Mytilus edulis: one gene and its partner. The protein of the gene in region 2 interacts with the protein of the main gene of each other region in a pairwise test. Links are inferred from orthologs where the notes say so. Each region holds a gene or a part of one and is shown on either strand. Other genes may lie near its edges. The genes, in order: DNA-directed RNA polymerases I and III subunit RPAC2-like and DNA-directed RNA polymerases I and III subunit RPAC1-like.

What was found.
Region 1: the proteins of DNA-directed RNA polymerases I and III subunit RPAC1-like (region 2) and DNA-directed RNA polymerases I and III subunit RPAC2-like interact in a two-hybrid assay, tested with the Drosophila melanogaster proteins (2 studies listed by BioGRID). The link is inferred for Mytilus edulis from reciprocal best matches to the Drosophila melanogaster genes Polr1C and Polr1D.

The regions. Positions count from the first base shown.
Region 1 is NC_092351.1:1,777,332-1,785,219, reverse strand, and holds the start of DNA-directed RNA polymerases I and III subunit RPAC2-like, read right to left. Parts: upstream 3,382-7,888; 5' UTR 3,314-3,381; coding exon 3,248-3,313; intron 1,310-3,247; coding exon 1,209-1,309; intron 787-1,208; coding exon 710-786; intron 1-709. Other genes in the region: uncharacterized protein, read right to left, coding at 4,138-5,106; iduronate 2-sulfatase-like, read left to right, coding at 5,540-5,597, 6,571-6,707. UniProt on the Drosophila melanogaster protein: DNA-dependent RNA polymerase catalyzes the transcription of DNA into RNA using the four ribonucleoside triphosphates as substrates.
Region 2 is NC_092346.1:91,463,655-91,471,313, forward strand, and holds the start of DNA-directed RNA polymerases I and III subunit RPAC1-like, read right to left. Parts: upstream 3,297-7,659; 5' UTR 3,200-3,296; coding exon 3,137-3,199; intron 2,130-3,136; coding exon 2,058-2,129; intron 686-2,057; coding exon 578-685; intron 16-577; coding exon 1-15. Other genes in the region: AP-2 complex subunit sigma, read left to right, coding at 3,380-3,382, 5,218-5,367, 5,864-6,037, 6,809-6,910.

The DNA of each region.
Region 1 (7,888 bases), on a different chromosome or scaffold from region 2:
CCGCCGTACATCCCCAAATTAATAACCAACATTTTTGTCATAAAAATCTGGTTAAAAAGCATGTTCATAGCAATTCTGTTTTTATATTTTCATGAAACTTAAAGAAACTTATCTTGCAGTTGGAACAGGAAATCATATTTGATTCAATCTACTGAGAAGTCATCAATTTTTTGTGGATTGAGGAAAATTTGTATTTTTGAAGATTTTTAATTTTGTCTTGTTTGTGGTTCACCAAATTCTGCATATATTTCTATAGCACATTTCTTATACACTGAGGATTTGAATTCCTAGTTCTTCTATACCAATGAAATCTGTCATTCCATAAAATTGTATGCCACAAAAAATTATGTATCTACAGTATGTCAATATTGATGGGATTTCTGACTTCTCTTCATCAATGTCAAAGTAATTTATATTATCTATTCATTTAACCTATAAAATATAAAGAACTTTGGAAAAACAAATTAGATTATCCACCATTCTGACTTATTGTGTCCGCTTTGTATTTTCATTGACCAACATGAGATTCCAGTGATATTTATATTCAGCTGCGAAAATTTGTTTTTATGAATCACAAAAAAATATGATTACAGAACTGTTTCTTATAACCAAGAAACATGGTTGAAATGAGTTGAGAAAATATGCAACAAATTTCTATTGAGAGATGAAATTTCACATACTTTATTACATGAATATTATAAATACTCACCATAGGTCTGAACACGGAAGTTGATTTTAAGTTCCGAGGGATGGGGAACACTGTAGCCACAAAACTTTACATCAGGACTACAAAAACAAAACCATATCATTATCAAATATAGAAAGTTATGAAAAAAATAATACCCATACCATAATCATAGTTATCAAGCTTATTAAGTTAGAAGAAAATATGTCTAAATATTATGACTGATTAGAAAATGATACTTAAATTTTCCTTGATGTCAAGACTTTTTTTCTGTTGACCTTCAGATAAATTTTTAAGGCCAATAACTACAATTAGAGGACGTACTGTGTTTTAATCTAATCCCTACCATAAAAATATGATAAAATGGAAAAATAAGTTTAACTTTCAATATACATGATAAAACATCAAACCAACAACTAAATAAAACCAGAGGAAAATCTGTAGTTAAAAAGCTTTACCAAAACAATGTACATCTATTAATTTTGTTATTATCATAATCTTCATTATTTCTCAGAGTACTCACTTTTTCATTATAATATAACGTAGAGAATTTCCCAGTGTGTGGTCTTCGTTATGGAATACAAATGTTTTACATGTTTCGTCTTCTTCTCCTGGTGTTTCTATCTACAGTAAAAATAGAATGAACTTCTTGGTTATACTAATGTTAAAGTTCCCACAAAGGGATTCATGAGTGATATTAGTTCATATTTTTTTTTAATAGATCATGAAGATACTTCATTTTGTACTTGTTTGTTAAAAGAATTTCCTGTTCACAATTTTTTCATTTGCCCAGAATACATATTCTTAACAAACTGAGACAACATTCATTGACACCTTGACAATCAACAATTTTTGTGTGTAGACAATGGTAGAAGCCATAAATGTACCTTTGGCAGCAAGAGGATTAAACTTCATAAATTCAGAACAATAGGAAGAAGATATATACATGTAGTACAAAGTATTCCAACATTGTCCAATGCTACACACAAAATATTACATAACTTGTAAATGTAAAACTTGTACAAAAATAAAATGTAACAATAAAAATATATTGAGTTCCTGTCTGGAAACAATTTTCAGCATTTATAGTCTTGAATATATGCAACATGAGGCTGAATTGCTCACCTCTATTTCAGAGGTGAAGATTTTTAAATGTTAGTAAACTTGATGAACAAATTGTGTAAAATTGTCTTTAAAGGGCAATATAACTCCTAAAGGGGTCAATTGACAATCTTGGTCATTTAATTTTTTTGTAGATCTTACTTTGCTGAACAATATTGCTGCTTACAGTTTACATCTATCCATTATAATATTCGAGATAATAACAAAAAACTGTAAAATTTTGTTAAAACTAACAAAAAGGTGGCAGCAACCCAACAATGAGTTGTTGGAATTGTCTTATTATTTCATGGCCGATTAAACCCAAGTCAGATTTGCTTTTAAAGCTTCAGTTATTGAGATATAAGTCAAAAACTGCATAATGCCATTTGACCACTATGTTCTATTTTTAGCCATGGTGGCCATTTTTGAAGATGGATCAAAACTTAAGATACAATTTATAAACTAGATACCTTAAGAAATATTAAGTTAAAGTTTGAAGGTATTTGATCAAGTAGTTTCAGAGGAGAAGATTTTTTAAATAGTTCATGACGACAGACGATGACGAACAGCAAGTGATGGCATATAAGCTCACATTGGGCCCTTTGGGCGCCACAGAAAGTAAATAAATAGCCTTTCAAGACATCATTATTATTTCGACTCCGGTAGCCTGTGCACAGTCACCAGGCATTTGTTTCTATCCACATATGATAGAGAAAGGAAGAAGCTTATAATTTATATGGATAGTGAACCTTCCTATATATATTCATGTATGGATAGAAACAAACAAGTGTATGTGCTCCACTGCTCTAGGCTCTAGTCGTGGATCACAGGCACTTGTTTCTATCCATAGGAAGGTTGACTATCAATATAAAGCTTCTATTTATATGGATAGCCGACCTTCCTTTAGCTATGGATAAAAACAAGTGCCTGTGAGTTTAGTTTAGATTACTCTGACATCCAACTGCTGTTTTGCCAGACAAGCTGGGGCCCTATCTTTTCTGGCAAAACAACCATTGGACGTCAGAGTAATCTCGGACTAGTGAGTTCCTTATCGCTATATGTCTGCCATTACTAGATATCACACAGGTTCCCGTAAAAATTAGACGTCATAAAACAAAATATCTGACGCAACAATGGAAAAGTGATTGTTGTTGACGTCAAAAGTTCAAGCGGCCGGGTCAGCCGGGATAAGCGATAAGGTGTATAATGTGCTGTCAAGTTACAGAGGTCACAGGCACTTGTTTCTATCCATAGCCAAAGGAAGGTCGGCTATCCATATAAATAGAATCTTTATATTGATAGTCGACCTTCCAATGGATAGAAACAAGTATAGTGAAGTACCTGTGACAGAGGTCCTGAGTTTGGGAGAAGACAATTTCTCCTCAGAATAATGCTCTCTGTTTATTAAGTTTTAAAATTAGAGAGAAAAGGGTATTGTTAAGTGATTAAGAAATAGCTTACAACTTCGAGACGATGACTACCGACTTCAACAGGAGTTTTAGTGGCATCTTTTTCTTTCTTAGACATGCTGCATACAAAACGAAACAAGTAGTTTCCGGTTTACAAATATATAATTTTAGAAACAAATACGGGTATGTACTTTCACTTTATATTACACACTTGATTAACAGTTCAATGATCTTCAATGCTTCTATCTGGGACAATTATATTAGTTTCAAGCTATTTTGGAAATAGTATATTGATAATATATATAAGTATAATAATCCCACTTCAACATGTGGACTGCACTTGCAGTCTGATGAAGTAAACATCTAAGAGTATTTAAAGATACATAATAATCTTTTCTAATTTACTGACAAGATACATATAAAATTTAGTAAAGGTGAATTTTATAAATTTTACACAATTCTTGCAGAAGACACTTAGGAACACTGGACAGAACAATTTGTTTAGCCCTCCACCTTTTTTTCCAAAATCTTTTATCTTTTTGTTTTGTATCAGTGTCATTACACAGACCGCTGTAGTCCAAATAATTATGACTTCTTGCAAGGCTATCTTAATTTTTTGCTTCAACGCCTTTTAAAGAAAATAAGTATAATAGCTTTTTATAAAAGATGTCATAATTATTTGAACTAACTTCACTCACTCACTAGACCGCTGTAAATAGTTAAATTATCATGATTATAGGCAGTAACTGAGTAAGTAGCAATTCAAGATCTTTATGATTGCATTATGCAGAAAAACATTTAGTCTTTAGTCTTTAGTAAGTGTCCCAAATGTGTACGTTTCCTCTTTTGTAGTTTTTTCACATATGTAATTTTCACTCATGTACTTAATTGAAATGGTGGCCGCTGCTGCTTAACAAATTTTGACTTAATTTTGATTTAGAATTATAGTGTTTTTTGCTGTATAGTGTTTTTGAATCTACCAGACTCCGTTAAATAATTTTCCAGATGGCACAATATCTCATTTCGATTGTCTCTATTAATGTCTTCTTCATCAATTCCTAGTAAGGTGTCTAAATCCATGCGTATATTTCCTGTTATAAAGTAAATAGATGTTCTCATCCTCTCTCTAGCCTCCTCATAGTTAGAACAATGTAAAAGGTAGTGTTCTACAGTTTCTGGCTCTCCACAGGAACAGTTTTTGTCTGATGATGGTATGATTTTAGATTTATAATCATTTAGATCACAATAACCTGTTCTCAAACTAGTAATAATTGAAAACGACCATTTGGATGGTAAATCTTTTGGTATTTTTTGACAAACTTTTTGATGATAGTTATAATAATTTCTGCCACATTGACTTGATTCCCATTGGTTCTGCCATTTTCTTAAAACACTTTCTCTTGCTGAACGTTTTATATCCTGCCTGGTTACTTCTGATGGTTCTTCTATTTTTTCAGCTTCTTTAGCTCCTTTTTTGGCCAGTGAATCAGCAATGTCATTTCCTTGGATATCAGCATGACCAGGTGTCCATTCAAAATTTAATGGAATTCCATTCATCTTTAATACTTTCATGTTTTTCTTAATTTCTCTTATGACTTTGATGTAATTTTCTGATTTCCAGTTTAAAGTTAAAATTCCAATTGAGGTCTGACTATCTGAAAAAAGTGTAATTGAGTCTGTGTTTTGTCTGTTTTCTGATATTAAAAAGTGGTCAACAACAAGTTTAATGGCGATCAGTTCTCCGAGTAGTATTGATCCTTTCTTGGATACAGCTTTACTAATTTCAATTTGTTGTTGATTATTTGATGGAAAAATGACAGCACCTGCTCCTACAGGGCCAGGACTGCCAAGACAGGACCCATCAGTAAATGCTATACATGAGTTTGCTGGAAGATGACTTAGTTTTTCCATTATTATGTGTTTTCCAACATTTTTTTGGTCTGTTGATCTTGATTTGGAATTTCCAAGGTTTTTCCAATAATCTGGAGGAGATTTATATCTTTGTAACCCATTAAACTATGTATCATGTTTATAGAAAGAAAGAAAAAAAGATTTCTCTAAAATAAAAAATAAGTCCTGTCCCCAAGTAGCTTTGGCAAATGATTGATTTATGCAAAAAAGCAAAACTTTATATGTCATTAACATTTGGACTTAAATTTTGACATATATTATACATTTTGTTAAACTCTGGGGAGATAAAAGAGTTTTTGTATTTTTATGCTCTTCATACTCTTTATAGAATATCTGTATAGTTATCAAGCTATTATAATCATGTGTTTATTTTACTATTGGTGGGTGTTTGTAGGAATGAAGAAGTACAGTCATGACAGTTGTTGAATATTGAATGATGAATATATGTCATGGATTACTGTTCCTGCTGGTTCTAGTGACTATTTCTAAAGGTAATTAGTTTTTATTTAGAATTAATAGTTCATATATTTCAGTACTGCACTGGTAAAAAATAATTTTTGTTAAGGAACCAGATGAGGACCACCTCCAGTGGAGGATTTTCTCACTGTGTTGAAGACCTGTTGGGGGCCTTAAGCTAATATCTGCTCTTTGGTCGGGTTGTTGTCTCTTTGACATATTCCCCATTTTCTATCTCAATTATATAAAGTAGATGTATAATTATATTTGTAAATGAGAAAAACAACCAAGCAACACAACTGTAGCAAGACTACACAACTTATGGTGAAAAAAGTCTTCTCGTAGTACACAAGACTTGTTTGTGCATCGTGTATGTCAAACTCTAAATAGTGATGTGTAATTTAAAAAGGAACTACCAAAGATCTGTCATAAACACCAATGCAATGGTAACTCTGATAAAGCATTTAGCATGAATCAGAAGGCAAGTTGTGATCTGAGAACCAGAACTTGAGGTGGAAGATAGGAGGAAAAAGACTGTATAAGTAAAGATAGGCAAATACAAGAGAAAGATCAACCCAACAGTACATTACATAACCTGTAATAATAATATGCATAATGATACAGTGTTGGGGATTGATAAGACTAGGCCTTCTTGTACAAACAGTATTGAAGAACAATAAATAAATAAAGATAAGATGGCTTAAAAGGGGATGTACTCGTTTCTCGTTTTGTTTATATAGATTAGACCGTTGGTGTTCCCGTTTGAATGGTTTTACACTAGTAATTTTGGGGCCCTTTATAGCTTGTTGTTCGGTGTGAGCCAAGGCTCCGTGTTGAAGGCCGTACTTTAACCTATAATGGTTTACTTTTTAAATTGTTATTTGGATGGAGAGTTGTCTCATTGGCACTCACACCACATCTTCCTATATCTATGTAATCTATCAAATTAAATTATCAAAATTAAAGAATTATGATCAAGTAAAAAAATATTTTGTTTACTTTTTTCAGGGAAACTGAATGTTCTGTTGATAGTAGCAGATGATCTTAGACCATCTCTTGGTTGCTATGGATATGAACCTTTGATCACTCCAAATATTGACCTCCTTGCAAGTCAATCAGTAGTTTTTAACAGAACGTATGCCCAGGTTTGTTGTATAAGCACTTCATTAACTGTGAATTTATATTCGTGGGTACCAATTTTTGGTGGCTTGAGAAAAACTTGCATATTCGTGGATATCTAATTTAGTGGTTATGGCAAATGAAATTGAAAATGGAAATGGGGAATGTGTCAAAGAGACAACAACCCAACCAAAGAACAGACAACAGCAGAAGGTCACCAACAGGTCTTCAATGCAGCAAGAAATTCCCGCACCTGGAGGCGTCCTTCAGCTGGCCCCTAAATAAAAGTCTGCATACATTCCTTAAGAAAATTTGTTATCTGTTGAACATTTAAGTTTGTGGTTCCACTGTATGACTGAACATGCTGTCCCCACGAAATCCACAATTTGGTATAAAACATATATTAATGAATCCACAGTATAAGTCTGTTGCATGTGACTCACTCATGTTCCTGGCAATAATAGTTCTTAAAATTGTAATATCCAGAATATGGAACTCCAAGGTAAATTAAAAAAAAGGTGATGATGAATAAAAACCTAACAAAACCAAACACTAAACTGTATCAATTAACTTAAATATTGGATAACAGATCCTTGATCACAAGTCCAAATAATTATGATGTCTTGGAAGGCCATTTAAATTTTTGCTTTGACATCGATGTAAGGCGTCAAAGAAAAAAAATATAATAGTCTTTCAAAATGTCATAATTATTTGGACTAATTCCTCACTTGGTACAGCCATTTTCTTGAGATTGCTGCTTATGTTTGCATTTTTCATGGAAACTTAAATATAAAAAAGAATATGTAGCATGATTGCTAATGAGACAACTCTCCACAAGATAATTAACAACTATAGGTCACCTGGATGACCTTCAACAATGAGCAGAACCCATACCACATAATCAGCTTTAATAGGCCCTGAAATCACAAATGTAAAACAATTTAAACAAGAAAACTAACAGCCTACCGGTAATTAATGTGCAATTAAAATGAACCAAAAACAAATATGTAACACAGCAACAACAGACAACCACTGAATTACAAGCTCCTGTCTTGGGACAGGCTACAAAACAGGAAAAATTCATCTACAAAAAGAAATAGTAATTTATCTTATCAGATTTGAAAATGTGAACTGGAAATTAACCCTGTTAAATTTACAAAACTATCCCAAGTGAATGTTGGTTGAGAAACAGAAGTTATGGTATGAA
Region 2 (7,659 bases):
GGCCATTGTGGGTACCTTAAATAATAAATAATAGTAGTGTCAATCCATTACAAACATCTTTTAACATGTATCACTTAAAAGATCTGACTAATAGCAAGAATATGAGAAAACACTTGTTTGAATTTTTGTGTGATTTAATATACTTAGTCAACTAGACCACCAGAGCTTGTGTTTATGTTGTTTATTTACTGATTTTAAATAAAGTCAATTTAATTGAAACATGCTTTGTTTGATTAATTCTAAATGCTTTGGCTAAAGAGGCATCACTAGTGAGATTTGGGGTTTAACCTGCTATTTATTACTTACTTCTGAAAGAAGAATCCTTCTAAATGCATTGGCTAAAGAGGCATCACTAGTGAGATTTAGGGTTTAACCTGCTATTTTTTACTTACTTCTGAAAGAAGAATCCTTCTAAATACATTGGCTGTAGAAGCATAACTCCTAACGTGTCTACACAAGTGTGAGTTTGGGTGTAACTTGCTATATTTTACTTACTTCTGAAAGAAGAATCCTTCTAAATGCATTGGCTATAGAAGCATTACTAGTGTGAGTTTGTAACCTGCTATTTTTTACTTACTTCTGAAAGAAGAATCCTTCTAAATGCATTGGCTATAGAAGCATCTACTCCTACCATATCAAATTCAAGTTCATCATGGCTCATCTTTACCATATCAATTCTGAACTTCTAAAAAAGTATAATTGGTTTACAACTATAACCTTGTTCTAACAAACTACAGTAAAACCTGTATAAACCGGCCGGCTACGGGACTATGAAAAAGGGCCGGTTTGGGCAGTGAGCCGGTTTATTCAGGTTTCCGTATCGACCGGAAGTTAATGACTTGTGACGTCCGATAGTTTGCATATAAAAGTTCTCTTTGATAGTTAAGAATATCTGATCAATTAAAATATTTTCACTTCGTTTTCCATTGTTTACATTTGCATCCTAATGCTCGCGTTGTTTGGATTGTGAGACGAGAGTTTCGATTTACTTCCATGATCATTTATTTGAAATGTTGGAATGGCCGATCAAAAAGCCAGAATATTATCAAACGTAATCTCATCACTATTGAAACGTTGTCGTACAGTTTACTATACCCATTGATTGTTGTCATCTGGGTGGTTTTCATTATCAAGGTCATTTGTTTAGGGGTTCACAGCAGGGAACCCAGGGTTTCGACATCACGTTGTAAATTTCTTATGCTGCGATTTAAATTTGTTTATCCAAGTTAACGTTACAAAACGTAAGTTAAATCCGAGATATATTCGGTGTGTCTTGTCGTTTAATTGACACGTTTATAATGTTTTAATAAATAATACAGCTCACTACTGTACGATTGAAAGTTCACTTCACAGTTTAACACCTGACTAATTGATTAATTATCCTGAAAAGTCATATTGTATAAAGTAAACAATTATGTTTTGATTGCATATCGATCAGTGAAATTAATTAGACAAACCGGTTTTGACAGGTAATAATTAATGTAATTAAGAGTATTGGGACTTCATAATTAGACCGGAATTCGGAATACACAGGGTCCGGTTTACAAAGGGTATTTTAACAAAGACTTTGAAGGAAAAAAAATGGGACTTTCATTTTCGGCCGGAATGTACAGGAAGCCGGTTTATTCAGGGTCCGGTTTAATCAGGTTTGACTGTACATGTAAAATGCATTGTTTCATTAGTTTAATGTCTTTGCTTTACTATAATTTACTTCTTTTTTTTTTTAAATACTTTGCAACTTATATTTGTTGCTTGTTTTTAATTTTACGGTGTACTGTTATTCCACTGTCCAAGTTTAGTGGTGGGTTGGCGCCTTAAAACTAGTTCAACTTTAACTGCCACATTGTATGTGCCTGTCCCAAACTGTAATTAAGTGGTTGATGTTTTTTGCTAAATATCATATTTGTATTTCATTATTATTTTGTAAATAAATCAGGCAGTAAGTTGTCTCTTTGGAATTGCATTACATTAGTCATTTTGAGGCTTTTTATAGCTGACTATGAGGTGTGGGTTTCAATTATTGTTGAAGGCCGGACAGTAACCTATACAAATCTTACCTTTTCAAATTTTTTCTGACTCCAAGAGTCATCATAATCTTCATAATTTCCAGGAAAGTCAGAGCTATGTGTCTACAAATATAATTCATGAGTTATGTTTTTATTACATATTTAGAATAAGTATCTTAACATAAATTACACACCCACAACCTATCAGGTCTGTGACTGAATTTATTTTGAGTATTCATATGGTCATTAACTCATTTGATAAAGTCATGCTGATTATAAAGGTGCACACAGTTTTCTCTGCTTTCAAAATCTTTGTTTGAACCTGTCCTGGTTTTCTTACTACAACCAGAGACTACTTGTAGTTATATATTTTTTGGCCGATGATTGAATTTCATAGTGTTATTCCCTGTATAATGACAAAGTTCAGGTGTGATTATGACTTGTGTACAATGTATATAGCGAATTTTAATTCCAAATACACCATTTATTCAACAAATTATGGTCATTTGCATAAATCATCACTGTTTTCTCGTAGTCACGTGATAATCTTTGAAAATGAAAGGCAAATGGAAAAATCGATGGGTCTCTGTGAAAACTGTTAAAATATGGAAAAATAAAAGTTGGCAGGTAGGTGAAACTTACATAAATGAAAAGATAAATGAAAAATGAACAGATTGATGCCTGATTTATTTAATTCCAAGGCCGTCAGTCGGCACCAGAAGCGACGAAGCAGCGCATCTATTTTGGGTGGGCAAATATCCACTTTTTGATATGGGACGAGCTCTGACGTCCCACGGCCCCAGCTTGTCTGACAAAACAGCCGTTGGACCTCAGAGTAATCTCGGACTAGATGAACGTGAATAGTGCAGGGATACAGGCGACCCCTCTATCAGATTATTATATCTGGTAAATGACCTCATAAAGACACGTATAATTGACGAGTTTTATCCAGTGACGGATGAACTCGAAAGTGGTCTATTGTTTCAACATATATTATAAGCTTTAGGAACAGGATCAGGACATGTATCTTTTCCTCTTTTTATACAGAAATTATAAGACTCAAAATTAACCAGAAGCTTACAACCTTTACTATAGTATACTAGTTCCATATAAATGCTGAAAAAACATACATTTTCTACAGCATGCTCCCGTAGAGTAACTTTCCTCCTGACGTCATCTATTAGGTCTGTCATGTCAGACTTGGGTATTTTTTCTAAGCTACATGCATGTTTGTAAACAGCTCCATGTGCTGGTCCTCCTTTATAAAGATCATCTGAACGCTTTGAAGCAACGTAAAACTCCTTGGTGCAAAACGTTCTCCTGACGTTGAATGTGGGAGGTTAATCATTTCCGGTATACGAAATTATTCAGAAATGGTAACACAGCCTCTTTTTATTATATTTTAAGGCATTTATTCATGATTGAACACACATTATTTGGCCGTAACACTTTCTCAGTTGATAATAACTTGCAATAGTGCTAGGTGTATTCGGAGTTGAGATCCACATTTTGATCTGAGTGTTGTTGACACTGTCACTTTTGACAGCAATGCTAAAAAAATTTGAATGTATAACTTACAATACAATTTCTGAGTGGTGGAATTTAATATTTTGTGGGAGTTCTTGGCCTATTGATGCTTTTCCTCTGCTTCTTCTTAAAAAAAACGGGAGTCGTTACTTTCTGCAGAAAGTCTGAAAGAATAAAGTTCTAACTTCTGTTGCCCGGGCTACTTCTGTCTGACAGGCGCACACAGTTTTAACCCTCTTGCTGCCGGGGGGACACATGTGTCCACACCGACTGTGCTGGAGGGACACATATGTCCATGTTTTAACTTATGCTAGCTTCTCATCATTACTGTACCTCTTTCAAAATAAAAGACTGAAACTTAAAAAGTGTAATATGTTTCTACAATGACTCTCAAATGTAACGGTCATTACAGCATGACATCATATATCAAATGACATCATTGTTTGGCATGTCACATTGTCGAGCGGTCATATTTTCTGGCATATGAATGCAACCCTGAAAAACATCTGGCAGCAAAAGGGTTAAGTAAGTTATGTTAGTGCATAAAAGGTAGCACAATACAAAGATTTTTCATCCCCAATCAGACATCTTTAAACTGATGTAATTCCACTCATCTTTCTTTAAATGTTATAAATGAGGTACCAAAAGAAAGAAGAAGGATTATTCTTTCAAATTGTGATAATTTCATTAAGACATATCTTCATAGCATCCTAAAAAAAATTATAGATTCTTGCACAACACAGTTTGACCTCCAAAACTGTGTCTCAGATTTTTCCTATTGTATTTCATTCTCTCATAAATCTTCAATGAAGTTTGCAACATCAATTCATTAGAGACCACTTAGTTCAATTGAGTATAAAATTTGTTCTATTGATGATTTTGGAAATCTGAGACACAGTTTTGGAGGTCAAGCTGTGTTGTACAAGAATCTATAAAATATTTTGGGATGCTATGAAAAACAAAGACGCTAAATTCATTCAAGTGTGGACATCAAAATATAGCGACTAATTACATAATAATTAATTATGTAATAGTTATGTCATAATGAAATTATCACAATTTGAAAGATTGATCTTTCTTCTTTCTTTTGGTACTTCATTTATAAAATATAAAGAAGGATGAAATGAATTACATCAGTTTAAAGTTGTCTGATTGGGAGTGAAAAAATCTTTGTATTGTGCTACCTTAAATTGGTATCTGTCTGTTCACTTACAAACACATTCAGACCCTACATGTGCGCTAATTGAGCCTTGGGTCTGTTACACCAAATTCATGTCGCACATTTACTGGTTGGATAGACCACTTTCAAGTTATGTCCACCACTTGAAAAAATCATCAATTATGCACACCATTTTGACGATTGCTGAAATTTAACATATTAAAAGGACATGTTACATGTACATGTATGTACCTATATATTTTGAAGCTGTATTTTAGAGTTATGTGTATTCTGAATTATTCAAGAGGCAATTTCACAAAGGCACAGGGAATCTATGACATCTGACTTCCACTTCAAAGGTTCATAAGATACTTTTATCTTTACTGGTCTTGTGAAAAATAACACCAGGATGTTGACCAATGTCCAGCAGTCTGCTCAAGTAATTTAATGAAGCTATTATATTAAACTTTTGCTGCTATTTAACTTTATGGTATTAACTGTAAATTTACAATACATTTTTTCTAGATTCGTTTTATCCTGATACAGAACCGGGCTGGCAAAACGCGTCTGGCTAAGTGGTATATGCACTTTGATGATGATGAAAAACAGAAACTAATTGAAGAAGTGCATGCTGTTGTTACTGTCCGTGATGCTAAACACACTAATTTTGTAGAGGTACATTGTATGCTGTGTGATACTAGCACATGTACAATACCCATCATATGAATAAACAAACAATTATTTTTGAAGGGTCTCTTGTACTAAAAGATCAGTGTGATGCAATATAATTCTTGAAAAACAATGGACACAGTAAGTTTCAAGTGGTGTATCTTAAAAATGCTGAAACATCAACTTGAAACTTAGCACTTATTACCAGTTGAAATACATGAAAAACATCACCACAAGTTACTAAATGACACAGAAATTAACAACTATCATGACTATTCAACATTGATTGCCCATACTGGGAAGTCAGCCATAAAAGACCCTGAAATGACAAATGTAAAAAAAATTAAAGAAGAAAACTAAAGGCCAAAATGAATGTACAAAATAATGAATGCTTACCTGTAGTTTATGTTCAAGCAATCCAAAGATTGTTTTTTTTTTGTATTTTAAAGGGTTATTTGTAATAGATATACCTGTGTATAATAATATGTAATTTTTTTTGCAGTTTAGGAATTTTAAGATTGTGTACAGAAGATATGCTGGTTTATATTTCTGTATCTGTGTTGATGTAAACGACAACAATCTTGCATACTTAGAGGCAATACACAATTTTGTAGAAGTGCTTAATGAATATTTCCATAATGTCTGTGAATTAGATCTTGTATTCAACTTTTATAAGGTAAAGTATTTATATTGTGTCTCAACATAAAACCTTTATTTTGTGTTCATAATTATACAAGTTGAATAAAAGGATCTTAATAGATATATGAATGACAGTATTCCTTTTGAAGTTGGTGGTTTTCTCTTGGGTCCCGGCTTCCTCAACCAATAAAGCTTGTCACCATGACTTAGCCAAGTGTGCTGTAAGTGATATTAAAGACCAACAATCAATCTATCAATCTTATAAAATTCATGATGTTGTAACTGACAGAACAAGTCATGCAATTACAGAATTTCCATTAAGAAGTTTTAACTATTTATTTTCTATATTATGTGTCCTCTTTGTTGAGCCTCAACATTTTAAGTAATTGGTTTCTATGGTTTTCATACAATTTATAAGGGTCTGTACAGTGAAATCAGGAAAACAAATGTTCTAATCTATCATATCTTTATAGAAAAAAAAGAAGAAAAAAAAACCAACAACAAAAAGCAAGAAAGGAGAAAAACTTATGAACCATATCAACAAACGACAACCACTGAACAACAGGTTCCTGACTTAGGACAGGTGCAAACAAATGCTGCAGTTTAAATGTTTTAAAATCCCAGTTTGTCAACCATATTGAGGCCCTGTCCTAGGTCATGGTCCTGCAGCTTTGATTTAATAAGATTGTAGCTATCTATAAGATTATTCCTGAATTTTCTGCTGACAGACAAGACATATCTTTGTGTCAACAGTTTATTTAATGGGAAACTTCGATCTTCAGTTATATTTATTTTGTTTTATTTTTAGGTTTACAGTGTAGTGGATGAGATGTTTTTAGCAGGAGAAATTCGAGAGACAAGTCAAACAAAAGTTTTAAAACAACTTCTTATGTTATCATCATTAGAGTAAATACTATGTTATAGGACTTAATAGACCAAAGTGTTGTAGACAGATGTCATTTATTGTGTATGATTTTATTACTATGAACTTTGTTGGTTATTTTTAACAGAAATGTTACAATAATTGGCTATTTAGATAAAGATGTCATAATCCATATGTAAAACAACAAGTAATGTTTCTGAGGACAGTATCTGATTGCAAGGTGATTTTTGCCTAAAAAAAACAGAAAAAAGCTAGAAGTGATTAGAGTGGAAAGTGTAGAACTTTTTTTATTTCGTTGTATTATATAAAAGTTATCATTATATTATCAAAATGTTGTTTTGTTGAGACATGAAAATAATGAGAACGTTAATAGATATTGTTCATATGAATGATACATTCCAAATTCACCTAGTTATTGTTAATGTAAATACATGATATTATTGCATCCTCCAGCATGTTTTCGTGTTTCATGGTTACTGGAGAACTACATATATATATATATATATACAACTCGTCTAAACATCAACCCAACAATGTTAGATCGGTTAATTTGCTTTTGCAAATTTTTTTATCATCCCTCGCCGGGATTTGAACCCATGCTACTGAGATATCGTGTAGAGTTGTCACTGACTCAGACGTACTTATATATATATACCTATCAGAAAGGGAAGGAAATTTAGATATACAAAATCTAATTGCAGCTAAGAAAAATTATTATAATAGCATTTTGGTAAGACCCTAATGAAACTGAAGAGGCCTCTGGATCAGTTGCATAG